4 linked regions of the Elephas maximus indicus genome follow. The protein of the gene in region 1 purifies or fractionates together with the protein of each later gene. This does not show direct contact. Links are inferred from orthologs where the notes say so. Each region holds a gene or a part of one and is shown in the gene's direction. Other genes may lie near its edges. The genes, in order: ACTR2, CHURC1, CORO1C and ARPC1A.

Region 1 (8,020 bases):
CTTTCCCAAGTATAAATCCCAAAGCACAGATCCCTACTTTTTTATCATACTTTCACTTGGTCCTGATGTCACTACAATGTTAATTTTATATCATCAAATGCAAAGAATGTTCACGTCAAACATCCAGACCGTCTAGAGTGCTATCAAATATCTTAACGACAATATTTATAAATGTCACTTTAAAATGTAATTAACCTTGAGGACACAATCAGACAAATACAGCACACTGGACATTTCCTACAAGACAAAAAGTGTGAACTCTTAAAAACGTGTCCTGAAAAAAAAAAATCAGAGGGCTATTCTAGATTAAAAGATTACAGAGACATAATGGCAAAAGCAATGTATGAACCTTGATTGGGTCTCAATTCAGAGGCAGAAACAGCTATAAGCATTTTGGGAACAAGTGGAGAGCCATGAATATGGGCTGGATATTAGATAGGATGGAATTATTGCTTATTTATTTTATAGGTGTGATAATAAGACTGTGGTTTTGTAGAACACTGTACTTATTCTTAAAAGGCATATGCTGAAAAACGTAGGCGTGAAATGCCATGAGGAAACCCTGGCGGCGCAGAGGTTAAGTGCTACGGCTGCTAACCAAGGGTCTGCAGTTCGAATCTGTCAAGCGCTCCTTGGAAACTCTATGGGGCAGTTCTACTCTGTCCTATAGGGTCGCTATGAGTCGGAATTGACTCGATGGCACTGGGTTTGGTTTCTGAGTTTTGAAATGCCATGATGTCTGAAATCCACTTTCAAATCAATTAACTTGTGTGACGTTAGCTACTTGCAAAGTTAGGGCATAGTCCACCAAGGCCACTCTCACTTCTGACACCAACTGCAGAGTTCGGTGGTTCTCAAAACCACCCTCAGGTTCAATGATTCACTGGAAAGACGCACAGAACTCAGTGAAAGCTGCCATACCCACAGTTGTTGGTTTAATACAGCTAAAGGATACAGATTAAAATCAGCCAAGGGAAGACATGCACAGAGCAGAGTCCAGGCGGGTTCCAAACGCAGAGTTTCCAGTTGTCCTCTCCCCATGGAGTTGTGGGCAGCATTCACTCCTCCTGGTAAAAATCTGTGACAATACACACAGAGTACTGCTAACCAGGGAAGCTCATCTGAGGCTTGGTGTCCAGAGTTTTTAATTGAGCTCCATCATATAAACATGAATGACTGCCCACATGAATGATCTCAGTCTTCAGTCCCTCAGGAGGTGGTGGAGGTTGAGGTAATACTATGTGACCCAAAGGCACCCCTGGAAATCACTTTGATGCTATCTAGCTGGTCCAAGGCCCCCAGGTGTACAAAGATGCTCCTATGAGGCACAACATTCCTAGGGCTAAGAGATTACCTCCCAGAAGAGAAGGCAAAGGCCAGACCTCTCTCTTTGGGCAAGGTTAAATTCTTTAGAACACAACTTGCTTCCAACTAACTTGGTTTAATACTGTTTGTTAATATAAATACTTATCTTCGCAACATAAATAAAAATAGCTTGGAAGAAGTTAGATAATTGACAATATAAAGAAGTACTTTTCTGTCATAAGTACAAGCCTTTTGGTTTACTGACTTATAAACCAAACAATTAAATAAATCACATAGATGGCCCCTTCCTGAGTTTTTCAGGTACAGAATAAGAGAGCTAGATTAGATAGCTACAGTAATACTATCAGGTTGTAAAATGAGTGAACATCTTTGGATGGAATTAAAATTCTGCCCAAAACATTCTGTTATGGATTGAATCATGCCTCCCATAATTTATGTTGAAGTCCTAACCCCTGGTACCTGTGAATGTGACCCTGTTTGGAAATAGGGTATTTGAAATATTATCAGTTAAATATCAGACCATACTGAAGTAGGGTGGGTCCTAATCCAATCTGAGTTTGGTCCTATAAAAGAGGAGGAGAGACAGAGACAGACAGAGGAAAGATGGCTATGTGATGACAGAGGCAGAGTTGGAGTTATGCTGCAGCTGCAAGTCAGTGATATCTGGGGCTACCAGAAGTCAGTAAAGACAAGGAGGAATATTCCCCCAAAAGACCTGGGAGACAGCATGGCCTGACCAACATGTTGATTTGGACTTCTAGCATCCAGAACTGTGAAACAGTAAATTTCTCTTATTAAAAGTCACCTAATTTGTGGTATTTGTTATAGCAGCCCTAGGAGACTAATACAGATTCTGGTTCCAGAAAGGGGGATGTTGCTGTAACAAATACTAAAAAAAGTAGGAGTGGCATTGGAATTGGGTGATGGGTAGAGGTTGGAAGAGTTTTGAGACGCCTGATAGTCAAAGTTCAGAGTGCCTTCAAGAGACCTCCGGTGCGGGCTCAGAAAGAAGTGTAAACTGCAGAGAAAGCTTCTATCATGAACAGAATGTACTAGAAATGTGGACGTTAAATATGCTTCTGGTGAGACCTTAAAAGGCAATAATGAACATTGTTAGACCTTGCTAGCCTTACTTTTTTAAAGGCCCCAACTCCCCCATTTGTAAAATGGGGATATCTACCTAGCAAGGTTTTTGTGCAGGAAAACAGAAGGCAATGAGGCCCCCAAAATTCAATAACCTAAAATGTGAGGTCGCATTAGTAAGAAGTCAGTGGAATGACTAGGATGTGCCTGTCTGGTGGGCAGGAGCCAGTCACCAATAGTGTTGTATCTGGATCTACATCATCAAGGGGTTTTGCTGCATTTTCCATACTGTACTCAACAGGTATTTGCTGACATTTTCTACATTCTGCATGACTTGTTTTTAAAATCAGAAGAAAGTAATAAATGTTATTTCTTAAGAAGTAAAAATTAGTAATCCATTTCATCCCATAAGAAGGAAAAGTAAAAGACCACAGAAACGTTTGAGATCAATTTGCTAAGACCAATTAAATGTACTTCCAGGAAAACTGCACTGTGCTAGGCACTGGGGCCATAAAAGTAAGATATGGACTCTACTGGAGAAATTTATGAACTAATGCAGTATTTTTCAAGGTGTTCAGAAGGCTGAAGTACCTCAACAGCTGTTGAAGCAGGTGAAGGGAGAGCATATTACCCTGAGGCCTCCTACCCTCTCCCACTTCTCGATCTTCCAACTGCAGCTATGGCAGCTTTGCTTTTTACCTATTTGATATGTTGGGGTTCCATAAGATAAATTTGAATAAAGGATTCTATGCCTTTAAAAGTTTGAAAATCATTGGTCTAATAAAAGAACAAGGAGCCCTGCTGGTGCAATGGTTATGTGCTTGGCTGCTAACCAAAAGGTTGGTAGTTTGAACCCACCCAGTGGCTCTGCAGGAGAAAGACCTGGCAATCTGCTCCTGTAAAGACCGTTGTTGTTCGTAGGTGACGCTGACTCGGTTCTGACTCATAGTGACCCCATAGGAAAGAGCAGAAATGCCCCATAGTGTTTCCAAGGACAGGCTGGTGCATTTGAACTGCCAACCTTTCTGGTTAGCAGCCAAGCTCTTAACCACTACACCACCAGGGCTTCAAGCCTAGGAAACCCTATAGAGCTGTTGTACTCTGTCATATAGGGTCGCTAGGACAGCACCCGACAACAACAAATGAAAGAACTAAGTGAAAACAGGAGGCAGACTGGTATTATAGAAAGAATACTGTCTGGGGCTTCAGGATCCAAGTTCTACTCTAGTTGTACATGCTGTGCAGCCACGTAGAAGGTACAATTCTAGTTATCACATCTCTAAAATGTCATTTTCCTAGATAAACGTTAATGTCACTCATTCAATAAATACTTGTCCAGTGTAATAAGGTTACAACGAGGTTATTCATATATCCGTGCTAAAGTAATAGCAAAGAAAGGGAGTAAAGAGCATGTGGAGGATATCTTGATGTGATAAGTTGGGCCAAACCCACTGCTGTGGAGAAGATTCTCTCACAGTCACCCTGCAGGACAGAGTAGAACTGCCCCATAGCTTTTCCGAGGCTGTAAATCTTTATGGACTGCCACATTCTCCTCTGGAGTGGCTCGTGGGTTTTGAACCGCCGATCTTTCAGTTAGCAGCCGAACGCTTTTAACCACTGTGCCACCAGGGCTCCTCGAGAAGTTTCTCAGCTGATTAAAAAGAGAAAAAAAGTGGGGGCATTACAGATAGAGAGAACTGCACTGTTGAAAAGTATGGAATTAATAAACAGCTACCACTGAATGAATGCTTAGTCCATGCACAGAATTTTGTCCTCACAACAACCCGTGGAAGATGTCATCCCCACGCACAAACAAGGGTACACGCAAATCATAGAAGTCTTCATTGGCAGGGGCTGATTTGAAACTGGGGCTGTCTGATTCCAAAGCCAAGGCTCTGGTTCAAACATGTACATGTACCGCGCAGGTGTGAAGTAGCACGGGTGCTGCTGAGAGACGGAAGTGGTGAGCGAGGAGGCTGGAAACGTAGGCACTCGCTCTCGCTCTCTTTACTGTGGAGCAACTTGGGCAAAGGACGATTGGGCTGGAAATGGAGATATCAGTATAAATCCATGATTTCGAATAAATACGTGTGTGTATCTATCCCAGCTCTGTCTACTGAGAAGGCCTCGACTGGAAGCAATGACACACCAGGCCACGTTCAATGACGGGGTCTGCAAGGACTTCGGGTTTGCTCCCCGCCCTCCCAGCTGGCTTCTCTGCCACCTTCCATCGCCACCTCGCGGCACACCTGGTGCCCTTCACCTGCCTCCGCCTTCTGCATCGTGCAGCAGCACCCTCAGCTCCTGCGACGCCTTCGGGAGAAGGCCACAGACCCACCAGGTCGGCCGCCATTAACGCCCCAGAAACACCAGGAACCGGGCGCAGAAAGGAAGAACCTGTGTGGGCGGTGCCCGTGGCAGCGGCGCTGAAGCCCAGAGGGGTGGGCGGGGCCTTCGGCTCCTCCGTTTCTCATTGGAGTTTGTCCCTGCCAGTCGCGGCCTCCGCCCCACCTCCTCCGAGCCGGCCGTCCGGTAAAAGGCGGGCGGGGCGGGGCGAGGCGGGGCGGGGCGGCGACTTCCGGTTGGGGAAGAAAGTTGGGCCGAGGGAGGGGCCGCGAAGAGGAAGGAGAAGGAAGAGGAAAGGCCGGGCGGCGGTGTCTGTAGGTTGTGCGGCGACGGCGGCTCTCCCCCGGGCGGACGATGGACAGCCAAGGCAGGAAGGTGGTGGTGTGCGACAACGGCACTGGGGTAAGCAGCCGGCGGGGGAGGCGGTGGCGGGCACAGGCCCCGGAGGATGTGCGGGGGGCGCGGGGGCCCTTAGTGCCCGGGGCTCGCCTCTGGGCCCGGCCCGCCGGGGCGAAGGGGGAGCGGCCCGACGCTTCCCGCCTTCGCGGACTCGGGGAGCAGGCGGGCCAAACCCTCGGCCCCCGGAGCCCGCCACCCCTGCAGCCGGCCACCCCCGCAGCCCTCCCTGTCAGGGCTGCGGGCGAGGTCGGCGGCGGACGGGAACCCTACCTGCTGGCCCGGCGGGGGCCGGCTACGTGCACGCGCGGGGGCAATGTGGCCAAGATGCCCGGAGGGGTGAAAGGCAGGGTTTGTGGGATTCAAGATGGGTTCATCCCCAGGGTCGCCAGTGTGCAAAAAGGAGGAAGACCAAGAGGCCTTCCTCTTCCTGTATAGTTGAAGATACTGAACGGGAGGCAGGAAACGGGTTTAAAGAAAAAAAAAAAGGAAGTGCTGTCTGTCGTGCGCGCAGTGGGCCTCACCCCTTCGCAGTGAGGTTTTTTTTTTTTTTTTGAGGAGGGGGAGGCTCGTCTTTTTACTTTTTTCTGTATGTTGGTAATTTGGCCCCTTTGCAGTCCGGCGGAGACCACGTGCTCCATAGGATTATCCTGGGACATCTAAGACCCCACAAGGCCGCAGTGTTCATTCCACTGTCCTTGGGGGGATGGGAGTTAGTCAGTTTTGGTCTTCTGCCCCTTTTTTCCTTAGGTGCAGAATACAGATTTAGTCTTTAAGATCCTAAAATGCAAGCAATTGTAAAAATCCGACGAGAGCACTGATTTAGAAACTATTTGAAAGTTATTTCTTTCAAACGCCCTCCTATAATTAAAAAAAATGTATTTTGGGCAGCGGAGTCAATCAGCAAATTAGAAGATGGAAAGGTTACTTACTTTGGACGGGTGCTATACTGGTCATTTTCCCCTAGGTTACAGTGATTTCTAACCGTTTTGTAGTTGCAACGTTTTGTGACATATGAATTAAAATAGATTTTACTTATACTTTAAAATAAACACTTTGGAAACTGGATTGTTCAGGGTGAAAAATACCTGGTACTCACTTCCATACTACTGCCCTTGATTGAATTTGTTACGGATTTTTTTTTTTTTTTTTACAAGCAATAATTATACTAGTTTCATCTGAACCAAGTTACAAATTGACGAGAGTAAAAAGTTACCATATAACGGGACATCAATGCAAAATGGAGTACTTAAAAAAACGGCAGACCCACTGCTGTGGAAACATGTCTGAGATGTATCCTGAAGTTTTTTTAAAAAAAAGCTTTAGAATGATTCCATGTAATGTGTGCGTTCTTTATTAAAGATACTCATACGTCCACACACTGGTATCTATATTTAAAATTTTTGGAGGAATGCATAAGAAATGCCCATAGTGGTTGCCTCTGAGACAGGATAAGAGTAAGGGAAGTGGGGAAGAGGACAATTTTTTTTTACTATAAGCATGTATTACTTTTACAGTTAACTCAGTTAAAGGTGCTTTTTAAAAAAAGTAGTCTGATTTCCACTAGTCTCAAGCTGACCTCTAAATAAATTTAAAACTTTAAATTGAACTGAAATACTTTATTGTGTGAATAGGTCTGATATTCTCTTTAGAAATCTGAGCAACTTGTATTTTAATGGAGTTTCTCATCCTTGGGGGATTCTAGGCAACGAACCCTGTATTTGTAGTCTGTATTAGTGTTCTCATACTCTATTAGAATATGAATGTTAACTGTAAGGTGGCTCGTTTTTATCTTACTATTTTGTCAGTTTTGCTGATATTAGAAAGCCGATTGCATATATGTCATGGATTTGTTTTGTATCCATAATTTAAAATTCTAGTTTTTTAAGACAAAAGATCAGTTATGACATAAATGAGAAAAATGTAGTTAATTCAAATAAGAATGTATGTATTTGGTGTTGAGTTAAGGTTATTTTTGAAATTCATTCAGATTTTTTGTAGATAAACGCTTGGCTTAAAATGAAGAAACAGCTCTGGTAATATGTAATCAGGAATGCTGTGATATTTCTAAAAATTTGGAGGGTTAAGGACCACTTAGATTCTGTATTCTGTTTCTTACTGCTTATGCTTCTAGACTTGAATAGTCATCTTGATCTTATTTTATGTGCCTGAAGTCATAGTGTTTCCTTTACAATTACATATTAAAGAAGATATTCAGATTTAATTTCTAAAAATTATTTTTAAAAAAAAGCTACTACCCTGAATTATTGTCATTTGCCCTTTACACACTTGAGGTTTTAAAATTCTAATCTATTTGAGAAGTTGATGATTTTTTTAACCCATCTCACAGGCCCAAAATTGGATGCTCTTAGGAGTGGATGGGTTTTTATGATCACGTACCAGACACTGGTCCTGCTCCATTTCCTCACCAGCCCCCAACTAGACCACTGTTTCATTAGGGTGAGCTGTAGGAGGAATACTTAAAATTTATGTGCTTTGGCCTTATAACTGTTCAAACCTGTCGGCTAGAACAGAGCCCTTGAAAACAGACAGACAGACAAAACTCTGGAGACCTGTGGGGCTCTAGGTTTAGGTGCCTTTGAAGAGTTGGGCCCTAGAGTTGTGTGTATCCTGTTACCAAACTTGGATGGTTTCATCAGTAGTGAGTGAGTTCACCAACAACAGTGAAGACTTCCTGGGTGCCTACTGTGTGTGTTATGGCACAATGCATAAGATCTGGTGATACAAAGTAGTGTATGCTAGAATAATTATATTTTCATTTTTAATACACATTTGTGGTTGATAAAAAAAAAAGCCCCCAATGCTGTTGAGTCGATTCCGACTCATAGCGACCCTGTAGGACAGAGTA
Region 2 (7,678 bases), on another chromosome or scaffold:
GCTCAATAAAAATTATTAAAAAAAAAAATTACCCAAGCTTCTTGATTCCTATGAATTTTGTACCTGAATAACCTTAAAGTAAACCCTCCCTCTGCTGGGCCATTCTGCAAGACAAAACAGGAGCCTCTTGACTTCCTTTTCCTCTCTCCCTCAGTTCCTCTAAAAATTCCAAATGCCTTAATCTCTCAAAGTCAATACACAGAGTATAAAACAAAAGTCTGCTCTGAGTCTGACTATATCCTTGGGGTATGTATTAGAAAAGAACAAACATACACACAATAAAATGAAAGCATACCTAAAACCCAGTTATATTTTCATTAGTAAATCCATTCAATCTATGTAAAATTTGCGAGATAATACTCCTCCAAAGGCTGCTACATCAGATTTTGGCATATATTGCGAAGTTTTTATATGGAACAAATCATCTGTATCTGAGAAGAAAGTGAGGAGCGCTGAGGAAAAGGATTGAAAGGGAAACAGTGGCGATTCCCTTGCTTTTATTTATTTATTTCTAAATATTTTATTGTGTTTTTGGTGAAAGTTTACACAGCAAATTAGGCTCCCACTTAACAATTTCTGCACATATTGGTCAGTGATGTTGGTTACATTTTCCACACTGTGTCCACGTTCTCCTTATTTCTGTTCTGGTTGTTCCGTTTCCATTAATCTAGCTTCTCTGCCCTCCCTGATCTTCTCATCTTTGCTTTAGGGTACGTTTTGAGTGTTTGACCTCATTTTTTTTTTTTAAGGGACACTGTACTTATGGGTGATATTGTTTATTTTATGAGCCAATCTGTTATTGAGCTGAAAGGTGACCTCTGGGAATGGTTTCAGTTCAAAATTTAAAGGATATCTCAGTCCCTTGCTTTTAAATGCCATGTGTTTGAAAAGCTGATGCTTATAATCTGAAGAGGAAACTTTCTTAGGTTATAATCTGAAGAAGGGAAGTAGCCCAAAGTGGGCTAGGGAAACTCTGTCGTTATTGTCCTTGCTGTTGTTAATTGCCCTCCCTAAAAGGGAAGAAAGTCCAACTCAGCCACCAAACTAATAAAAGCTGCTGACCCTGAAACTTTCGATGCTCTGGTAACTGCCCTCAGGCCAGGCTAGCCTCTGTTCACTGTGTTCACCTAGAATCATGCTAACTCATTCAACACAGGCAGGTGATACCAGGTAAAGACAACCAAAGACTCTTATTTCACACTTTCCTTGAGACAATGGAAAGAATAACACACACCTTCACCAAGCCTACTTAGAGATGAGCTTTCCTCCACCAGTGAAATTGGCCTGACAGTGGCACCATAAAGGCTTCTGGGTGCTTCCTCATCCCTTTAAACAAAGGACTAGCCCATGACTAGGCATCATAAAAGAGAAAAGGTATAAAAGAAAGAGGGTGTTAAAAGGGGATTCAAATGGCACTTTTAAAGGAATGTAGTTTAGAGCATGTAATTGAGGCAACAAGTAGGGCCATTTAACGTTTAGATTTTCCTCAATTGATTCTTTTTACCAAGAGGCAATCTCATGCATGAACTGCAACATATGGCTATATTTGATACACGTCGTTGACATCACACGATGAAAATTCTGTTAGAAGGTAATCCTAAAATGGTATCTGGAAACTTTATATAATTCCTTATAAGAGAAAAGAAATGAGAATTATTATTAGCATTAGTTTTTTGCATTTTTTATTTTATATAATTCCTTATAAAAGCAAAGAGAATTAGTAGTAGTAGTATTTTAGGTTCTTAAAAATTATTTTATGTTCATTCCTTCTGAGTGCTAATAGTAACATCTATTTCCCCTTCTTCCATCTTTCAACCTGAGATACTTTCATATTTCTGTTACTACAATCACACTAATTTCTAGTGTTGTTCACTCCCTTTCTCCAGGCTCACTTGCTTTCTCCCCTCTGTGTGGCCAGATTTGAATGGTGGACTTCACTGGATAGATAACCAGTAGCTGTTGAACTTTTGTGGTAGTTGTGAACTCTTATGCCTATGAATAAGAGGAATTTTTTATTTACTTGCTTATTTTAATAAAAAAAAATATGATATCACTCTGGGAAAGTTAAAAAAAAAAGACCCTCACAAATATGTAGATTGCCTTTCATGCCTCAGAACATAAAATAGATGTACAAAAGGACATGCTGTTTGAGATTTGAGACTGCACTGTAATTTTTATTTTATTTTAAATTTTTTTGTTATACATGGTCTGTATTAGTTGTGAGGCAGAAAGCTATACATCTCCCCCTTGTGGTACCTGTTAGTGTCTGCCTTTTACATCTTCAATTTCTTCTTGCTCTGATCCCATGAGTTGACTGGCTCTGATCAGTCCCAACAAAAGGCTGATAAATGATCCTCCTAAACCACAACTCTGATACCACTCTCCTGCTCAAACCTTCACTGACTTCCTAGAACCTACAGAATAAAATCCAAACTCCTTGGCATGGTCCACTTGAAATTCCCATACTAAAAATCTCTGATTTTTTAATTCCTCTACATCTTTCCAGGTCCAAATTTCCCTTTCCCAACCCCTCACCTGGAAGTATTCTCTCCATTTTGTGCTTTAATACCACAAATTGTCAGTAATTTTAGGAGTTTGTGCTCATTTTATCTCTCGGGCTCTACTGTGAGCTAATGTAAGGTAGGAAAGGAAGGAAAATGTCTTTTTCATCTTCCTGTTGCCCGCAGTTCCCTAAGCACTGAAGGTACTCAACAAATGTCTACAGAATTGAGTAAAATAGATACCATGGTTAAGAAAAATAAAACTTGGCATTAGACTTTAAAAAGAGAGGAAGTATTTAAAAATGGATCACAAGGGAGAATTGTACAGACATGCAATATCCAATAGAAATATAATCTGAGCCATATATGTAATTTAAAATTTTCTAGTAGCTACACTGGTGTTCCTGGATGGTGCACATGGTTAATGTGCTCAGCTGCTAACCTTATTTCCTTGATTGTCTCATCTGAAAAGAGAAGACACACTTTTCTTTCTCATTGTTTAGGGTTATAATAAGGATAAAATTAGAAACTGAAATGAGGACACTTTGAAAGCTTGAAAATGTCATAGGTATGGGAAGTGTTATGATTATTCCAAGTAAAATGAACTCTGAGGGCACTAGCTCATGCTCTTAGCATGCCTCTGATTTCTAGTAACAGCTGCAGACCATTCCCAGAGACCAAAATGCTAAATGTTACAATTCCAATCTGACAGTGGAGATATAATCACCATATTAGCAAACCCAATTAAACTAGTTTGCTTTGAAATGGTTATTAATCTCTTCTTTAAAGAATCTGGATGCCAGAGTTTCATATGCTCCCCCATATCTTCACTGACCTGACTGCAATAAAGCAGGGTTAAGGAAGGATACTGCTATTCTCATTAAATATCTCTGTTGGAATAGCTGGATATGATGAGGACAGGTTGTTCAGAAGTGCAAAGTGGATTTTGGAGATTAGTATTCAGGTTAATTATGTCATTGTGAATAATAAAGAGGGAAAAGAAGAGCCAAGGTACCAATGGAAAGTATTTTAAAATCTCGAAATTGGTATTGTTGCTGTTAGCTGCCATGGGATTTGCCCCGACTCATGGGGACCCCATGCCCAACGGAACAAAATGCTGCCCAGTCCTGCACTATCCCCACCATGGCTGTGATTCGTGGGACTTTCATTGGCTAATTTTCAGAAGTAGATTGCCAGGACTTTCTTCCTAGTCCATCTTAGTCTGGAAGCTCCGCTGAAACCTTGTTCAGCATCATAGCAACACGCAAGCCCCTACTGACAAACAGGTAGTGGCTGCTCTTGAGGTGCATTGACAGGGAATCAAATCAAGTCTCCCATCATGGAAGGCAAGAATTCTATCATTGAAGCACCGCTGCTCTCTTTGAAATCAATCATTGAGAAGTGATGCCGGGATAATTGACCTGGACGTTTTCTGTTTACATAGTGGCACATTGATTAAAGCGATGGACTGCTAACCGAAGGTTTGGCTGTTCGTAACCACCAGCGGCTCGCAAAAGAAGAGATTTACAGCCTTGGAAATACTATGGGGTTGCTACGAGTCAAAATCAACTCGACGACAGTTTTGTTTTGTTTTGTTATAGTGCCTGCCTGCCTCTGAGGTGCTTCTGTGTCACGGAGATAGAAACATGTTTTCCAAAGCTATGTTCTTTCTCCAAATGACTCTGAGATGGTCATTTATTATTAACATTTTAAGTGTTCTTTTGAGATTTTCAGCAGATCTCTAAATGCCTCTTTCCCAAACACTTCAGTTGTTGCTTATTCATCTCTTACCACTCTCGCTTCCCTAAGAAATGGTGCAGGAAAGTATTTAAATTATTAGGTCAGTGTGATATATGGAGTAAGCCGAGGCAGAAAAAGACAATTCTCTTTCCTGTGTATTGTGATTTGTCTGTCAACCTAAGACCAGAAAGGCACCTATTAGAACTTTGCTCAGTCCAAGATCACGTCCCCTTCCCGTCCCCTCAGCTAGTCGGCTCTCCCAAATATCCGACATCCTACTATGAATCGGAATCGACTCTACGGCAAAGGGTTTGGCTTGGTTTTGGTACCCTGAGCCCACCGTTGTTGCCCGGGAGACCAGGCCCTGCCCTAACAACAGTTGCTAAGGGCGGAGACTTCGACTCCGTTCCCGGGACCAACCCCCTCAAGGTCGACTGCTTGGAGCGCATGCGACAATCTTCTCCTAGCTCTCGCGAGGTTTCGTCTTCACGGAGACGCTGGAGGACCTTCCGTGTTAGCGGCGTCGCGATGTGTGGCGACTGTGTGGAGAAGGAGTATCCCAACCGGGTGAGCGAGTGGACGTCGAGAACTTCCCGCCCCCGCGGCCCATGGCTGGCCCTTGAGGCTTCTCGTACCCCCGCCAGCCTTCCCTGAAAGGCAGGCGCGGGGCACACTGAGCCGCAGTGCCCGGGCCAGTGACCCGGTAGCTTTCTTCAGGCCCGTGACACGGGACGGCCTGTGGCCGTCTCTTCTCTCTGGTCCCCGCATTGGTGATTGATTTTAGCTGACACCCCCTTCTTTTGAGCTCTAGCGGACAACAGAGGGACGCTCACCCATCCTGGGCTCATTCTCGAGCTCGGTTTGACGAAGTTCAGTTTTCTTACCGAATTCTAGTCCTGGAAGGGACCTCTGAGTTAAAATCTGTTCTAATCTAATTTTGTAGATGAAGAAACGCTCAGAGGAGCAGAAATGACTTTAGTTCACATTCTAGTTAGTCTGAAGGCAGGACGAGAATTAAGATTTCCAGCTGTTACTTCACCCAGCAGTCCACCTTGTAACTTTTTTATTCCTTTTAGACTCAGGAGGTTGCAAAACTTGTCTTTCTCATTCATTCAGTGTATACTTATCCAGCATTTATATGTCTGTAGCTAGATTTCTTTGTTAGGCCAGAAAGGGACACCAAAGGAGATAAAAGAAAGGCAAGACCTGCCCTGTGTAAGAGTTGGGGGAAAGCGTGTGATTAATCAAAAAATGAGTGCCACATAAATGCTCATCAAGTTTAGAGAAAGGGGAGAGCAGTCGGAGGTAGCGCTTTTATCCACCTAATTGAAGGTGGACTTCGATTAAGACTTAATAGTTGTGATTAGGGTAGAAGAGAAGGAAAGGATGTGTCGAGGCTGTGGAAAATAATAACGAGGATTCTTGCATTGGTTGGGAGGTAGAAAATACCTAGTTGCTTCTGTATCTTAGATTTTTGTGAGTAATACCAAAGTCTTTTCAGAACGATACAACAGCAGGAACTCTCATATAGTCCAGCCACTTTGGAAAAAGGTTTAGCATTATCAAATGAAGTTAAAGATGTGCATATTGAGTGACCCAGCAGTTCCCCTTCTAAAGAAATTCATGGACATCTGCCCCGGGAGACATGTATAAGTGTTCAAAAGGCATTAGTTGTAGTAGACTGGAGAAATAACAGCGATATGTTTATAGAATAGAACACTGAATGAATGAGCAATGAAAGTGAATTAGACCATGGCTCTCAACTGGGGGTGCTTTTGCCTTCCAGGGGACATTTAGCAATGTCTGGAGACATTTTTGGTTGTCACATTTTGGGGGTGGAGTACTGCTGGCATCTAGCGACTAGAGGTTAGGGATGTTGCTAAAGATCCTACAGTGTACAGGACAGCCCCCTACAACAAAGAATTATCCAACTCAAAATGTCAACAGTGCCAAGGTTGAGAAACCCTGAATTAGAACAATGAAAATGAACAACCTAAAGTTACACAACAACCTGAATAAGCTGTAGAAATACAATGTTGATGAAAGAATACATAAAGTATAATTCAAAGCAGGCAAAACTAAAATACATTATTTAAGGATATATACACATGGAGTCACCGTGAGTCAAAATTGATGGCAACTTGCTTTCTGATAACTAGGTGGTAAAACTCTAAAGAAAGCAAACAGTTATAAAGTAATCGTGGTTACTGCTAAGGGGCAATAATGATCAAGGGAATGATCGAGAAGGCTCACATGGGGGGAGGGCTTCTGTGGTGCAGGCAGTAATCCACAGGTGTTGAGTTTATAATATGCTGTGCATTTATGTTTCATGCACCTTTCTGTATTCTTTTTTTTTTTTTTTTTAATTAAAAAGGTATTTTTGTGAATCTGATAATGAACATTGCACAATTCAGGGACCGTGAGGAAGAAGTTTTGAAGAGAGCAGATTAGATTCTTGAGAGTGGAGCTAGTTCAAAGACTTAAAAATGAGATTGAGACTTTTAAATTTTATGCTATAGACACTGGGGATAGGGGCAATTATAAAAAGGAGAGCCTAGAAACACACTGAACATTTAGGGAAGCCATGGTAACAGTAGTGTAGACATAAGGTAATGAAGACCTCACTTCAAAGAAAGAATTAAAATGACTCAACCAATTTAATGTAGGAGGAAAACAATAAGGAAAAACTTTAGATGATCTTAAGGTTTTCAATTTAGGCAACTGGAAAATTGGAAGTATCATTATAGAAATTGGAGGCATATGGGAGAAAGAATCAAAATTTGGGCCCAAGTTTTCAGATTGTTTTCATAGTGTTTCATTTGAGGTACAGAATATAGCATCTAAGAAGTCAAATTAAGATACTAAATTGCAGTTTGGATGTGAGATTCAGACTGGTGTTAACAAATGAGTCTGTCAAATAAAAATGTCAAAATTGAAAGGATTTGCCCGCTGGGGAAGTAGAGAACCAGCCAGAATTAAGAATTGTGTTTCTAAGAATGAATTAATTTAGGAAAGAAAATAAAGGAAACTGTAAGAACTAAAGAGTAGAAAAACATATTGAGGTGATTGGAAAACCAGGAAAGTGCCTAGAAGCACACTTTTCTCAGATTTTATTATGTTGTAAAATAATTAAAGGGTTGTCACGAAGAAGAATTAAACTTTTCTTTGGAAATTCAGAAGGTGGATTTAGAAGTAATTAGTGGGTGGATGTTATGTTATTGTACATTTTGAGTCAGGATAAAGAACTTTCTAAAAGGTATTCAGAAATGGGATAGGTGACCCTTAAAGGAACTAAGGAAACCCTGGGGGCATAGTGGTTAAGTGCTACAGCTGCAAACCAAAAGATCGGCAGTTTGAATCCACCAGGTGCCCCTTGGAAACTCTGTGGGGCAGTCCCACTGAAAAAAACTGAGCTATCTTCCTGTTGTTGTTCGGAA
Region 3 (6,880 bases), on another chromosome or scaffold:
GAAAGTGGCATTGCTTCTGGCTTTGGTACTGTCTGCAAGAATTACCTCTCCAACACAGAGACAAAACGAGGCACTGAAACACACAGCTGTAAGGCAAAAGTCTTGCCATTCTTCTTTCTCCGTGTATTTGATGACCTTCGTGATGGTGTCATCTGGGAGGAACTAGTGTCATGGGAAATCGTACTTCTAATTTCATCATTTAAGGAACTGGGGAGAAGGGAATCAACATGTTTTAAGCACCTACTATTTTATGGCACTGGGTTTTGGGGTTATGTGCTGGGTGGAAACCCTGGTGGCATAGTGGTTAGGAGCTACAGCTGCTAACCAAAAGGTCGGCAGTTTGAATCCACCAGGCGCTCCTCAGAAACCCTATGGGGCAGTTCTGCTCTGTCCTATAGGGTCGCTGTAAGTCAGAATCGACTCAACGGGTTTGGTTTTTGGTTTATGTGCTGGGCATAAGAGTCCTTGGGTGGTACAAATGGTACAAAGTTTGGCTGCTAACTAAAAGTTCAGAGGTTCGAGTCCACCCACGGACAACTTGAAAGAAAAGTCCAGTAATCTGCTTCTGGAAAATCAGCCACTGAAAACCCTATGGAGCACAGTTCTACTCTGACACACATAGGGTCACCATGAGTTGGAGATGACTTAATGGCAACTGGTTTGGTTTTTTTTTGGTATGTGCTGGGCATAGTGCTGGGTGCTCACCATGGGTTAACTCATTGAATCTTTAAAACCACCCCATGACTGAAGCATTTGGATGACTCCCACTTTACAGTTGAGAAGAGTAGGGTCCATAGACTAATGTGATTTACCCAAGGACACCCAACTGATAAGTGGTAGAACCTGAATTTAAATCCAGCTCTGTCAGCATCCAAAGTCCATGGCTTTTCTATTCCATCACGCTGTCATGGAGGCAGTTGAGTGTAACGACAAAGAGCGCAGTACTGCAATTAGATGGAGGCGGGTTCCGGTATTAGCTCTGCCTGGTTCAAGCTGTGTACCTTGGGCAAGTCATTTAACTTCCCAAATCTCAGTTTCTTCACCTATAAAGTGGGGATTAATAATTTTTTCTATGCCCGAGACTATGGCTCCTGGACACCCGGCTAACTCAGAACTGAAGCCACTCCTGAAGTCCACCTTTCAGCCAAAGATGAGACCAAAACCACAAAAACCAAACCCATTGCCATCGAGTCGATTCCAACTCATAGCGACCCTATAGGACAAAGTAGAACCGCCCCATAGAGTTTCCAAGGAGCGCCTGGTGGATTCGAACAGCTGACCTTTTGGTTAACAGCTATAGCTCTTAACCACTCCACACCAGGGTTTCCAAAGATCAGACAGGCCTTATAAAACAAACAATAACACACATGAGGAATGTGCTTCTTAGTTCAATCAAGTGTATGAGACCAAATAGGCAGCGCCTGCCCAAAACCAAAGATGAGAAGGCAGGAAGGGATGGGAAAACTGGAACTGCCCTTCCACACGGAGAACCCAGGGTGGAAAGGGAAAGGAGGAGAGTGCTGATACATTGTGGGGATCGCAACCAATGTCACAAAACAATTTGTGTATAAATTTTTGAATGAGAAACTAATTTGTGCTGTAAACTATCACTTAAGACACAATGAAATTAAAAAAAAAGAATTGTTTCTATGGCCATAGGATTGTTGAGGAGTTTTCAGGCAATTTTGTATGTGAAGCGCTCAGTGTAGCACCTGCTTCTATAAGTCATGAATAAATACTAACGATAATTTGTCTCTAAAGAGTAAACCAGATTGGTTCCTGGTTCAATCTCAAAGAGCTTTATTAACCCTCATTTCCCCCCAAACCAATCAGAACCCACTGCTATCAAGGCACCTCGTTTAATTAAGGATAAGAATCATAACGATAGCAAATTGTTTGCGGGTGTTAGGTCCTTTACCTCTTTATCTCATTTAAATGAAGTAAGTGTAAAATCTTGTGCAGAAAGGGGGCCCTGTTTTTTTTAATTGTACTTTAGTTGAAGCTTTACAGAACAAACGAATTTCTCATCAAACAGTACACACATCGTTCCATGACATTGGCTAACAACCCCACGACATGTCAACACTCTCCCTTCTCAACCCTGGGTTCCCTATTACAGCTTTCTTGTTCCCTTCTGCCTTTCAGTCCCTGCCCCAGGGCTGGTATGCCCCTTTAGTCTTGTTGTGTTCCATGGGCCTGTTCAGTCTTTGGCTGAAGGGTGAACTTCAGGAGTGACTTCATTACTGAGCTGAAAAGGTTTCCGGGGGCCATACTCTGTGTTTCTCCAGTCTCTGTCAGGCCAACAAGTCTGGTCTTTCTTTCTGAGTTAGAATTTTGTTCTACATTTTTCTCCAGCTCTGTCCAGGACCCTCTATGGTAAGCCCTGTCAGAGCAGTCAGTGGTGGTAGCTGGGCACCATGTAGTTTTACTGGACTCAGTCTGGTGAATGAGGCCCTGTTTTTTTGCAGTGGCTACTTGAAGGCAAAGTGAAAGCCACCTCTCCATAACAGCAACAGTAGCAACAGGTACCATTTCTGGTGGGCTTTCCCAAGCCAGGCACAAAGATGATCTCATGGAATTCTTTCCACAATCTTGCAAGGGAGGGACTGCTATTACCCACCCCACCCCCCCATTTTTACAGATAAAGAAATTGAGGAGAGGATAAGTAATTTGCTGTGAAAGTGATTGGTAGACGTTTTGGTTTAGGTGGACACATGTCCCTCCGAGGCTGATGTTTAAAATGAGAGTCCCAGTGTCAATGGCAAACATGCCTGGATTTGGGAAGTAAATAGCCCTAACTCTCAGCAGTTGTTTTGTCAGTTCCGTTCCTCTTGCCCAACTTTCCCAAACCTGAAAGGGACTCTGGCTATTGACAGACAACTTCCTCAAGCTAAATATTAGGAAAGGGCCCTGGTGGTGCAGTGGTTAAGCGCTTGGCTGAGAGGTGAAGGGAACTGCCCCAGGTCACACAGTCTGACAGGTGCAGAGCTACGACTGGAACCAGCTGAATTTCAGGCCAGAGCAGACAAAGTGAAGGACTTTGGCCAGGGAAAGGAAGGGAGGGAGCCTGGAACCTCTGTTTTCTCACCTGCGAAACGTGGTCAATAACAGAACCTCCTGTGTAACTGTGGGGGGTTAGGTGTGTGTGGCCCAGCCCAGGGGCTGCCAATCTGTACTAGGAATGTGGGAGTGGGAGGTGGAGGGAGGGCTGGAACTTTGGCTGGAGGGTGTGAAGGGAGCAGGGGCGGAGCTTCTGAAGCCAGAGGCGGGGCTTCTAGAATTCGGGGCAGAGGTCGGGACTCTGGGATGTCGCGAATAGAATTCCGGATTTGTGGGCGGGGCTTCTGGAAATCGGGGTGGGGAAACGGTGTTTAGTGGCGCCCACGAGTGAGTTCTAAGGCCATGGGCAAGAAGTCGGGTTAGGGAGCCAAGAAGCTGGCTTAAGGGTTTTTGATGTGCAGCGGGCGGGGCTCAGAGAAGCTGATGTTCGGGTTTTAAGGGACTGTGGGTGAATCCTTGCGGGGCCGGAGGGTCCTGGCCCTTCACAGCCTCGCGGACCGATGTGCGGAGCTGTAAGAAGCCTGCGTCGGCTTCTTTGAAGCAATGGGCGTGGCTCGGAGGAGCTTGTGGGCGTGGCCCTGCGGCCTCTTCGATGACTGGTGGGCGGTGCTTACGCTTGGACACCGCCTTCCTCCGGGCCCCACCTACATCCCTCGGCGCGACCAGAGGTGGCGCTAGCGGGCGCGGGGCGAGGGGTGGGAAGCGGGCTTCCCCTCCCGGAAGTGGGCGGGGCCCGCCCCAGTTTGGCGGCCCTGGTTGGGCGCGATGCGGCGCGGGGGCGGGGTCTGAGAGCGGCAGCAGCGGCGGCTGCCCGCGCCCCTCCCCCGCGCGGCGCTTAGTGCCAGGCGGAGGCGGCAGCGGTTAGAGGCTTCGCCCGGCTTTGCAGCGGGGACTTCGGCGGCGGCGGCGCCTCAGGCACCTCGGCCCTGGTGAGCGGCGCGCGCCCGGTGGGGCCGCTCGGGAGCGAGCCGGGCACGGGAACCGGTCCTCGCAGCATGTGCCGGTGCCGGCTGACAGGAGTCGGCGGGGCGTGGGGCAGGGCCCAGTGGAGGGGAGCGGACTGGGGTCCGCGCGTGGAGCGCGGATAGTCGGATCGGGGTCCGCCCCGGCCGATGTGCAGGGGTTAGGGCCGGGGGCTGCTGCGGGAGGCTGGGGATCTGGATGAGGGGAGGTTTGGGGAGAGAACGACTTGGCCTGGGGAGAATGGGCCCGGGTCCGTGTGGGGAGGGGGCCGCTCAGGGGAGGCTTTTAGGGGTTCAGGACCTTCTTGGCCGAGGGAGGGGTGGGGGCTAGTGCGGAGGGGGCTGCCCGAGGGAGGTTTCAGAGGAGTCCGAGACCCCCCTCGATGGGTGAAGTGCTTGGTGAGGAGGGGCCGCTTGCAGCTGGGGAGCAGGGCCCCGAGGCGCCAGGCCTGGGGGCGGGGTTTGAGCCGCCCTAGGGAGCGAATGGGTGGGGGTGGGTAGGGACCGGGCTCGTGTGGGGCCGGCGCGAGGGTGGCCCCCGGGTTTTGGGGGTCGCCGGGCTCTGGGTGCAAGATCAGCTTTGAGCCCTGAAGGTCTGGGGTAGGGGCCCGGGAAGGGCGGGGCAGGGCTGGAGCTGGAGTAATATGGGTGGGGGCGGTTTGGGAGGAGGCAGAGCCGGACCGAGGGATCCGAGGGCTGGGGCTGGCGGGGTGGAGGGGGCGGGGGCGGGGGCAAGAGGAAGACCGGAGCAGGGTCGCTGCAGAGTGGGGGGTCTGGGGCGGAGAGTGAACGGGGAGATCCAGGGATGTGCTCCCCTCTTAGTGGGGCAGCTGGAGGGAGTAATCAAAAGGAGCGGGGGGCAGGTGGGGCTCCGCAGCGCCCCAGTGACTGAGCATGAGGTCAGATGTTGAGGGTGAAAATGCAGGAACCGAGCCCTCCCGCCGTCCACACCGGCGCAGGCACACCACCAGCTCTCTGTCTCTCCAGTGATTTGAATGTGTAGGGGGAAGCCGCAGGCTGCGGGGAGCGAGCGGAGAAGAAAGGGGCTTCCTCTTAGAGGGAGGCACAGGCCCTGCGGTCCTTTTTTGGGAGTGTTCAAAGGGTTTTCAGCGCTGGAAAAGGAAATGTAGGCTTTAACTGCATCATGGTTTAGGATCACACCCTATATTTGGCCTTAATGTAGGCTGCCCTTGTTTTGTGGTGTCTGAAGTGCTTGCTCTACGTGTTGCAAACGTGGGATTCACAGTGAGAAGCAAATTGCAAGTTGTTCATCTACAGGATAGCCTTTCTTTCCCATAAGACATTTTAAAGGAATCGAATTTAGTGCGTGTTTTTAAACTGGTACTGGGTGGCACATATATTGACTTTTGGAAATAGTTATCACAGAATACTAGATCCTCTTAGCACAACCAACCTTCCTGCCTGGGCTTACGTTCTAAAACAGTGCTTGTAGGGCTCTTAGTCACTCTATATAATAATGCATCTCATTGTCCTTATCTGGCAGAAATCCCTCCTGACACCAGGGCCTGCTGGAATAGACAGGAACATGGTTAAGTGTAAGCAGTGGCTAATACATGTCTGTTTAATATTGATTCACTCTCTTCATTCCCTACAAAACTGAAGAAAGCCCCTTTTGGACATGAGCCTGTACATTTAAGAAGGCTGATTTACGGAAACATTTATTTGGCGTGGAGATATGTTCCAGTCATAATGTTAGGATATGAAGCCTAATAGTAAGCACTGGAGCTGAGCAATTGCATAAATTGATAGGGAAGAAAAAAGTGAATTAATACAGAGAAATATACAGTACATTAGACCCTGAAGTACACTATTTTGTGGTAGGTGATAGTCACGTACACTGAGGATTGAACAAAGGTGGGTCATACAAGCCAGGAACACACCTTTTTTCATAAATCCAAAATGTGCCTTGTCTGTGTTTGTTCTTGAGTTCATGTTAACGGTACATTAAAGCCTAATGAATTTTAATAGACACATGCTAGTGAAGGAGCTCTGGTGGCGCAGTGGTTAAGTGCTCGGCTGCTAACAGAAAGGTCAGCAGTTCAAACACACCAGCTGCTCTGTGAGAGAAAGATGTGGCAGCCTGCTTCAGTAAAGGTTACAGCCTTGGAAACCCTATGGGGCAGTTCTGCTCTATCGTATAGGGTTGCTATGAGTTAGAATCAACTCAGTGGCAATGGGTTTGCTTTTTTTTTGGTGGGGGGAGGACATGCCAGTGAAATATCACTGCACACGGTATGGAATTTTTCATGATCATTTATTACTTTGCCTATAGATGACACTAATCAGCATTTATGTCTTTTACTGTCTGTGTAGTTTAGGATTAGATGCAGGATTGGCAAATATTTTTTAAACACTGTTGGATTTTTTAAATTTAAACTGTAGGCTTAACGCATCTGTCACTTCTGGGATCTGCTCCAACCATGAGGAGCAGAGTTGCTCTAATGCCTGTGAAATGGAATGTCCAAAAGGATAAATGATTAGTTTTTAGTTATTATATGCCTGGGAATGTGAAAGCTTCAATTCTCATGATTGCAAAATATTTGTTTCTTAATATTTTACTTTGTCACAAACTGCTGCTTTAGAAACAGGTATTGTTAGTTAGGCTGTTTACCTTTGACCTCTTTTGTGGGTGGAGCAATAATAAATTTGGGTACCACTTTTCATATTCAGGGCGCAAAATCATGTGATAAAAACTCTTAAGCTTATTTTCCGTTTGATACCTTCCTTTCCCTGAGTTCCGAAAACTCTTTTTCTGACACTTCTGGGAAAGTCCTTTTTAACTTAAGATGCCTTTTCTGTATTAAAACAGGAAAACCTCATGAATATTTCAGTATGAC
Region 4 (7,411 bases), on another chromosome or scaffold:
CCCCCACTGCAGATAGGTGGTGGCTGCACTTAAGGTGCGCTGGCTGGAAATCGAGCCCAGGTCCCCCGCATGGAAGGTGAGAATTCTACCACTGACCCACCACTGTTCCCTCATTACAAATCACATAAGTCTTAAAAAAAAAAAAAAACTAATATTAAAAATTACTCCTGAACAAAAACTAGATAACTGGGAGCTCCTAAAAATCAAACACTTATGCTCACCCAAAGACTTCACCAAAAGAGTAAAAAAATTACCTACAGACTGGGAAAAAGTTTTTAGCTATGACATTTCTGATAAGTGCCTGATCTCTAAAATCTACATGATACTGCAAAAACTCAACTGCAAAAAAGACAAAAAACCCAATTTAAAAATGGGCAAAAGATATGAATAGGCACTTCACTAAAGAAGACATTCAGGTAGCTAACGGATATATGAGGAAATGTTCACGATCATTAGCCATTAGAGAAATGCAGATCAAAACTACAATGAGATTTCATCTCACTCCAACAAGGCTGGCATTAACCAAAAAACACGAAATAATAAACGTTGGAGAGGTTGTGGAGAGACTGGAACACTTATACACTGCTGGTGGGAATGTCAAATGGTACAACCACTTTGGAAATCGATTTGGCGCTTCCTTAAAAAGCTAGAAATAGAACTACCATATGATCCAGCAATCCCACTCCTTGGAATATATCCTAGAGAAATAACAGCCTTTACACAAACAGATATATGCACACCCATGTTTACTGCAGCACTGTTTACAATAGCAAAAAGATGGAAGCAACCAAGGTGCCCATCAACTGATGAATGGATAAAGAAATTATGGTATATTCACACAATGGAATACTACGCATCAATAAAGAACAGTGAGAAATCTGTGGAACATTTCATAACATGGAGGAACCTGGAAGGCATTATGCTGAGTGAAAAGGACAAATACTGTATAAGACCACTATTACAAGAACTTGAGAAATAGCTTAAACTGAGAAGAAAACATTCTTTTGTGGTTATGAGGGGGGGAAGGAGGAAGGGTGGGAGAGGGGTATCCACTAATTATATAGTAGATAAGAACTACTTTGGGTGAAGGGAAAGACAGCACACAATACAGACAAGGTCACACAACTGGACTAAACCAAAAGCAAAGAAGTTTCCTGAATAAACTGAACGCTTTGAAGGCCAGCGTAGCAGGGGCAGGGGTCTGGGGACCATGGTTTCAGGGGACATCTAAGTCAACTGGCATAATAAAATCTATTAACAAAACATTCTGCATCCCACTTTGAAGAGTGGCATCTGGGGTCTTAAATGCTAGCAAGCAGACATCTAAGATGCATCAATTGGTCTCAACCCACCTGGATCAAAGGAGAATGAAGAACACCTAGGACACAAGGTGATTACGAGCCCAAGAGACAGAAGGGGCCACATGAACCAGAGACTACATCATCCTGAGACCAGAAGAACTAGATGGTGCCCAGCTACAACCGATGACTGCCCTGACAGGGAACACAACAAAGAACCCCTGAGGGAGCAGGAGAGCAGTGGGATAAGCAGACCCCAAATTCTCATAAGACCAGACTTAATGGTCTGACTTGAGACTGGAAGGACCCCGGTGGTCATGGCCCCCAGACCTTCTGTTGCCCCAGGACAGGAACCATTCCCAAAGCCAACTCTTCAGACATGGATTGGACTGGACAATGGGTTGGCGAGGGATGCTGGTGAGGAGGGAGCTTCTTGGATCAGGTGGACACTTGAGACTATGCTGGCATCTCCTGCCTGGAGGGGAGATGAGAGGGTGGAGGGGGTTAGAAGCTGGCGAAAAGGACACAAAGAGAGTGGAGGGAGAGAGCAGGCTGTCTCATCAAGGGGAGAGTAATTGGGAGTGTGTAGCAAGGTGTATATGGGTTTTTGTGTGAGAGACTGACTTGATTTGCTTAAAGCACAATAAAAATTATTAAAAAAAAAACCTCCTTCTTTGGAAATCCAATAGCTTTTACGCCCAGCTTCATGGTATAATGGACTAGGCATCAAAACGCCAGCCCTGTCACTGATTTATATCGAAACCTTCAAGTTTTTAAAACCCCTGGTCCCGTTTCCTCAATTACATAATAACTTGGCTTAACTTAAAGGCTCCTTTCAGTCTGGAATGACTCATAAGACATGAAATAAAATACACCAAATCGTAAGCTTTGTTTACACTAAAATGCAAAATGCTGATTTAAAAGCAGAACCAGAGATTACTATTAAATGTGCTTATCATTTGAGGGAAACTAAGTTATTTCTTTTATCATTTCTCATATAAAATCTGATATTGTTAATTTGCATGTGTTATTCTTATTTCTCCATATTATAACAAAAAAAAGCAAACCCACCGCCATTGAGTTGATTCCAACTCATGACCACCCCATGTTGTTACAGAGTAGAACTGCTCCATAGGGTTTTCTTGGCTGTAATCTTTAGGGAAGAAGATTGCCAGTCCTTTCTTACAAGGCACTGCTGGGTGGGTTCAAACCACAAACCTTTAGGTTAGTAGTTAAATGCAAACTGTTTGTGCCACCCAAGGACCTCGTCCAGATTATAAACTTCTTAAAAGAAGAAACTGTCCTTCATATAGCTGTGATCCAGATAAAATACTATTGGTATTTTAACTCTGGGTACCAACTCTACCAAAGAGCCCTGGAGGCACAGCATTTAAGTGGTCTAATGTTTGGCTGCTAAATGTAAGGCTGGTGGTTCAAACCCACCCAGCAGTTTCATGGGAAAAAGACCTGGTGATCTGCTCCTATAAAGATTACAGCCTAGGAGACCCTATGGGGCAGTTCTGCTCTCTCACAAGGGGTTGCTACGAGTCAAAACCGACTCAGCACACAACAACCAACTCTACAAGATTCCTGGTGGTACAAATGGTTTGTACTTAGCTACTAATCGCTATAGGCAGCTATGAGTTGGAATCGACTTGACAGCAATGGGTCTGGTCTTTTTTTTTTGGTTTACTAATTGAAACACTGGCAGTTCTAATCCATTTGGCAGCACCGCAGAAGAAAAGACCTGGCAACCTGCTTCTGTAAAAATTACTACCAAGAAAACCCTGTGGATCACAGTTCTACTCTGAAGCACACGGGGTCACCATGAGTCAAAATCAATTCGAGGCAACAGGTTTGGTTTTACTGGCTCTACCTAAGTTGGGAACTGCCTCCTGTAACTTCAGGCCATAAGGGATTTTGCTTTCCATCCATGCTGTCCTTCCTTTGCCAATAGGTTGTCTCTTAGTGGGGTTATTAACTTAACCTTTTTGCATCTCTACCCTACCTGACCTTGTTCCCCCTACAACCAAAGACTTTGCAGCCATGGGACAGAGTAAAACCAATTCCTTCCAGTTCATTAGTGCTACATGAATAGCTGCATTAACTAACCTGAAAGAACGCAGTGTGGCTATGAAACTGGGAGTTCACACAATCCAGCGTTGGGCTCAAGAATGGAAACCACCAAAGGGGACGACATAGGCACTCAACTACTAAACTAAAAGTTGGTGGTTTGAACCCACCCAGCAGTGCCACAGAAGGCCTGGCGATCAGCATCGTCAAAGATTACAGCCAAGAAAACCCCAGGAAATTCTACTCTGTAACGCACGGGGTCCTATGGGTTGGCAACGGGTTTTGGTTTTTGGCTGTTGACCCGTAGTGGCACCCAAGGCAGGAGGGTTGCTCCATAATTTCTATGGGTTCGAAGGCAGCAATCTAGTTGGAAGTGGGGTTCAGGGCATTTCTCTGAAGCTTCACCTGCAAAGGAAACAGTGTCTTCACGTACTTTTTTTTTCTTTTTTCGGGTTGTTAAATTCCACCAACTCCTTTTTTTTTTTTTTTTTTTGGAGGCACCTTGGGCGTAAGAAGCAAGTGATTCTGACGGAGGAAGGGTAGAGAAGGTTCCAGAAGGTTCCCGGGGAGGGAACATGGCAGAGGCGGCCCGACCGAGGGCAGGGCGCTGCTAACGGCACTGGAAGCGCTCGGAGGCGGCCTGGGGCCGGCAGAGAACCGCAGGGAGCCGAGCACCGGTCGCCCCTCTGACCGTCTCTCTGAAGTGACAGAAGCGTATCCGCTGGAAGGTGCAAAGGGCTCGAGACGCTCCAACGCTGAAGAATTCACCGTGTGACAAGGGCCCTTGTGAAAACGCCACGGCTCCGCACTTCGGCCTGAGATTCTGGGCAAGTTTTTCAAGAAAAGGAGACTCGCATGCCCTTTGGTGGCGCGGCGGCTGAGGGTCTCCGCGCTCCGCCGCCACATCCGGCCGGCGCCCCGACCCAACGCCTGGGCTGTGCGCGTGCGCGGACCTCCCCCACCCCCGGCCGGCCGCGCTGCGCAGGCGCCGTAGCCACTTCCGGAATCTGTCAGCCGCTCCCTCCCGGCCTCCGGCCTCCGCCCGCGCCCGCCGGAGCCTGTTCGCGTCGACTGACCAGAGTCCGCGAATTCGCCGCTCCGAGCCGGACCGGACTGCCCCGATCCCAGGTAAGGGGCAGCGGGGGAGCTTCAGGCGCTGGCGGCCTCCGCGGTGCCGGGCTACAGCCCGCGGGGGCGGCGAGACGGGGGCTTAGGCCGTGGGGCCCCGAGGCTGGGGGGCGGCCCGGGTCTCCAGCCCCGGGCCCCGTTCTCCAGGGTCCCCCCGAGTCTTTGGGGTCCCCACACGTACAGATCGCTTTCCTCAAGACATCAGGCCGCCTCCAATGCGAGAATTAACGGCTTCCTCTGCACCCCCAAGCCCCTATTTGCATCTCTATTGTAGGCATTTATCGCAGTAAAATTGGGAGAAGTGGGATAATGTCGCTCTAACCGGGGCGTCACAGGGACCATTAATTTCTTTCTCTAGCGACTAGAATGGGTCGCGGCACACAGTAGGCACCCGTGGCACCTGTCTAGGGCAGCACTCAATCTTTCAGTTATTGGGGGATCCGCCTGAACTCTAGAAAAATGTACTCCCCACCCCAGATCCTTAAGATTCCTCCCCTCCAGTGCTGCCTTCCTTAAAGTCTCAATTGCACCCTCCTCCGATCTCCTCTTGCACATTTGCTCTTGACCTAAAGGTTGGTAGTTCGAGCCCGCCCCCATGGTACGGAGGAAGAAAGACCTGGAGATCTGCTTCCCTAAAAATTTGAAAAAACAAAAACAAGCCTACTGCCATGGAGTAGATTCCGATTCATAGCGATCCTGTAAATTACACCCAAGAAAGCCCAATGAAGCAGTTCTTTTCTGTAGCACATGGGGTCGCCATGAGTCAGAATCCACTCCAGGACAACCAGTTTGTTTTTTTGTTTGTTTCTGCACTCCTTTTCCGTCACATAGGGTCCGAATTGACTGAGAGCACCTAACAACAACACTTGCTTAGCGGAACCTTTGATGTAGCACCTTCCACATTCCAACCACCCAGTCGGACTGCCAGTGTTCTAAACCCGCTTTGTTTATTGGGCGACCATCGGAAGATTGCTTCTCTGTCTCTGTTCCCTTTTGCAATAGGACAATAATTTTGGTAACCAAGTCTCAGAATTTTTCTGAGTATCATATGAGTTTATTTGCATAAATTGCTCACAGTTGCTCCTGGACCAGAATAGGTGCTCAGTAACCATTATGGGTTATTACTGCTCCTGGGTATTCTATGCATATTTATCTTCTCTTCCTCACCCCCTTTCCCAGACCTTAAGGGCCAGGAAGATGCCAGATTTTTTTTTATACGAGTCGGAATCAACAGCAACAAGTTTGGCTTTAGGCTTTTTGGCCCCAACCAGGTACCTACTCCTCTGCTAGGAACATGACTTCTTGTTAGCTGCCATGGAGAAGGCCCGACTCACGGTCACCCTAGGCACAACTGAACAAAACGCTGCCCAGTCGTGCGCCATGCTCATGATCAGCTGCTGATCCAACTGTTGTGATCCGTAAGGTTTTCATTGGCTGATTTTTGGAAGTAGATCACAAGGCCTTTCTTTGTAGTCTTAGTCTGGAGGCTCCGCTGAAACCTGTTCAGCATAATAGCTAGGCACTGAATAAATGGTAGCTTAGAATCTTTGATTATAAAGCCACCTGCTCTCATACTGTGACTTTGGAACCTGAAGGAGATTCTAACCTACTTCCATTTCAACTCATTGCCTAAATTTCCTAAATTATCTTGGTTCTTCTCTCCTTGGTTCTTCTCTCAGTTTTATTCAACCTTTCGGTTTCAGGTGATTGTTATTAGTTGCCATCGAGTTGATTCTGACTCCTGGTGACCACATGTGTGCAGAGTAGAACTGCTCCATAGGGTTTTCAAGGATGTGACCTTGTAGAAGCAGATCGCCAGGTGCTTCTGGGTCGGTTCGAACTGCCAACCTTTGGCTAGCAGTCGAACACTTAAATTTTTGTGCCACCCAGGCTTGCTGTGGATTTTTCAGGTGTCTAAAAACAAAAGAGAGGATAGCAGTCAGGAAGGTGTTTTTGGCCCACTAAGGAGTGTGTTTAACTATTGGCCACCTCTTACCACAAAGTACTCAGAGTCCTTCAGGAGTTAATTCATCTACTACTCACAATTAAAAAGCAAAGATGTCACTTTAAGGACTAAGGTGGGCCTGACCCAAGCCATGGTGTTTTCAGTCACCTTATATGCATGCGAAAGCTGGGCAATGAATAAGGAAACCTGAAGAAGAATGGACACCCTTGAATTATGGTGTTGGTGAAGAATGTTGAATACACCATGGGCTGTCAAAAGAACAAACAAATCTGTCTTGGAAGAAGTACAGCCAGAATGCTCCATAGAAGTAAGGATGGTTAGACTTTGTCTCGCTTTGGACGTGTTATTAGGAGGGGCCAGTCCCATGCTTAGTAAAGTTGAGGGTCAGCGAAAAAGAGAAAGACCCTCAACTAGATTGACACGATGGCTGCAACAACGGTCTCAAGCATCTGGGATCATGAGGATGGCACAGCAATGGGCAATGTTTCGTTCTGTTGTGCATAGGGTCAGTATGAGTTGGAACCAGCTCCTTGGCACCTAACAACAACAACTCGCAATTAAAGGAGGGAATTATCTCAGAAAATTAAAACTCCTGCTTTGGAGGGGGAGTGACAATATTTTGATCCAGTTATCTAATCCTATGCAGAAATGGTTGTTCTTTATAAAGAAGTTTAAAGGGGTCTGCCAGTGAGGCAGTGCTGGCATTACAGCCTGTCTCGGTGAGCACCAGGGAGGGTGGGGTGGCCTGGTAAGAGTGCCTGGTGTTGCCAGGTTGGGCAATGAGAGCAATTAGAAACAGGATGAATCACAGTCCTGAAGACTGACTCTAAACCAGGAACTGAAAACCCCACTGGTGTGAATATCTTGAATGAAGCCCTGGAGGAGGAGGGCCAAGAGTGTAAAGCTTACGTAAACTTTTCCAAGTTCAGAAGATACTAACCAGTGT

The links.
Region 2: the proteins of ACTR2 (region 1) and CHURC1 purify together in Homo sapiens (affinity purification with mass spectrometry; 4 studies listed by BioGRID and IntAct, with this or other methods). This does not show direct contact. The link is inferred for Elephas maximus indicus from reciprocal best matches to the Homo sapiens genes ACTR2 and CHURC1.
Region 3: the proteins of ACTR2 (region 1) and CORO1C fractionate together in Homo sapiens (co-fractionation; 3 studies listed by BioGRID and IntAct, with this or other methods). This does not show direct contact. The link is inferred for Elephas maximus indicus from reciprocal best matches to the Homo sapiens genes ACTR2 and CORO1C.
Region 4: the proteins of ACTR2 (region 1) and ARPC1A purify together in Homo sapiens (affinity purification with mass spectrometry; 9 studies listed by BioGRID and IntAct, counting the BioPlex papers as one, with this or other methods). This does not show direct contact. The link is inferred for Elephas maximus indicus from reciprocal best matches to the Homo sapiens genes ACTR2 and ARPC1A.

What each region holds. Positions count from the first base shown.
Region 1 is NC_064835.1:71,461,551-71,469,570, reverse strand, and holds the start of ACTR2 (actin-related protein 2), read left to right. Parts: upstream 1-5,013; 5' UTR 5,014-5,109; coding exon 5,110-5,157; intron 5,158-8,020. UniProt on the Homo sapiens protein: ATP-binding component of the Arp2/3 complex, a multiprotein complex that mediates actin polymerization upon stimulation by nucleation-promoting factor (NPF).
Region 2 is NC_064828.1:77,215,478-77,223,155, forward strand, and holds the start of CHURC1 (protein Churchill), read left to right. Parts: upstream 1-4,669; 5' UTR 4,670-4,688; coding exon 4,689-4,808; intron 4,809-7,678. UniProt on the Homo sapiens protein: Transcriptional activator that mediates FGF signaling during neural development. Plays a role in the regulation of cell movement.
Region 3 is NC_064840.1:19,274,580-19,281,459, reverse strand, and holds the start of CORO1C (coronin-1C), read left to right. Parts: upstream 1-3,879; 5' UTR 3,880-3,989; intron 3,990-6,880. UniProt on the Homo sapiens protein: Plays a role in directed cell migration by regulating the activation and subcellular location of RAC1. Increases the presence of activated RAC1 at the leading edge of migrating cells.
Region 4 is NC_064830.1:102,788,997-102,796,407, forward strand, and holds the start of ARPC1A (actin-related protein 2/3 complex subunit 1A), read left to right. Parts: upstream 1-4,408; 5' UTR 4,409-4,499; intron 4,500-7,411. UniProt on the Homo sapiens protein: Probably functions as a component of the Arp2/3 complex which is involved in regulation of actin polymerization and together with an activating nucleation-promoting factor (NPF) mediates the formation of branched actin networks.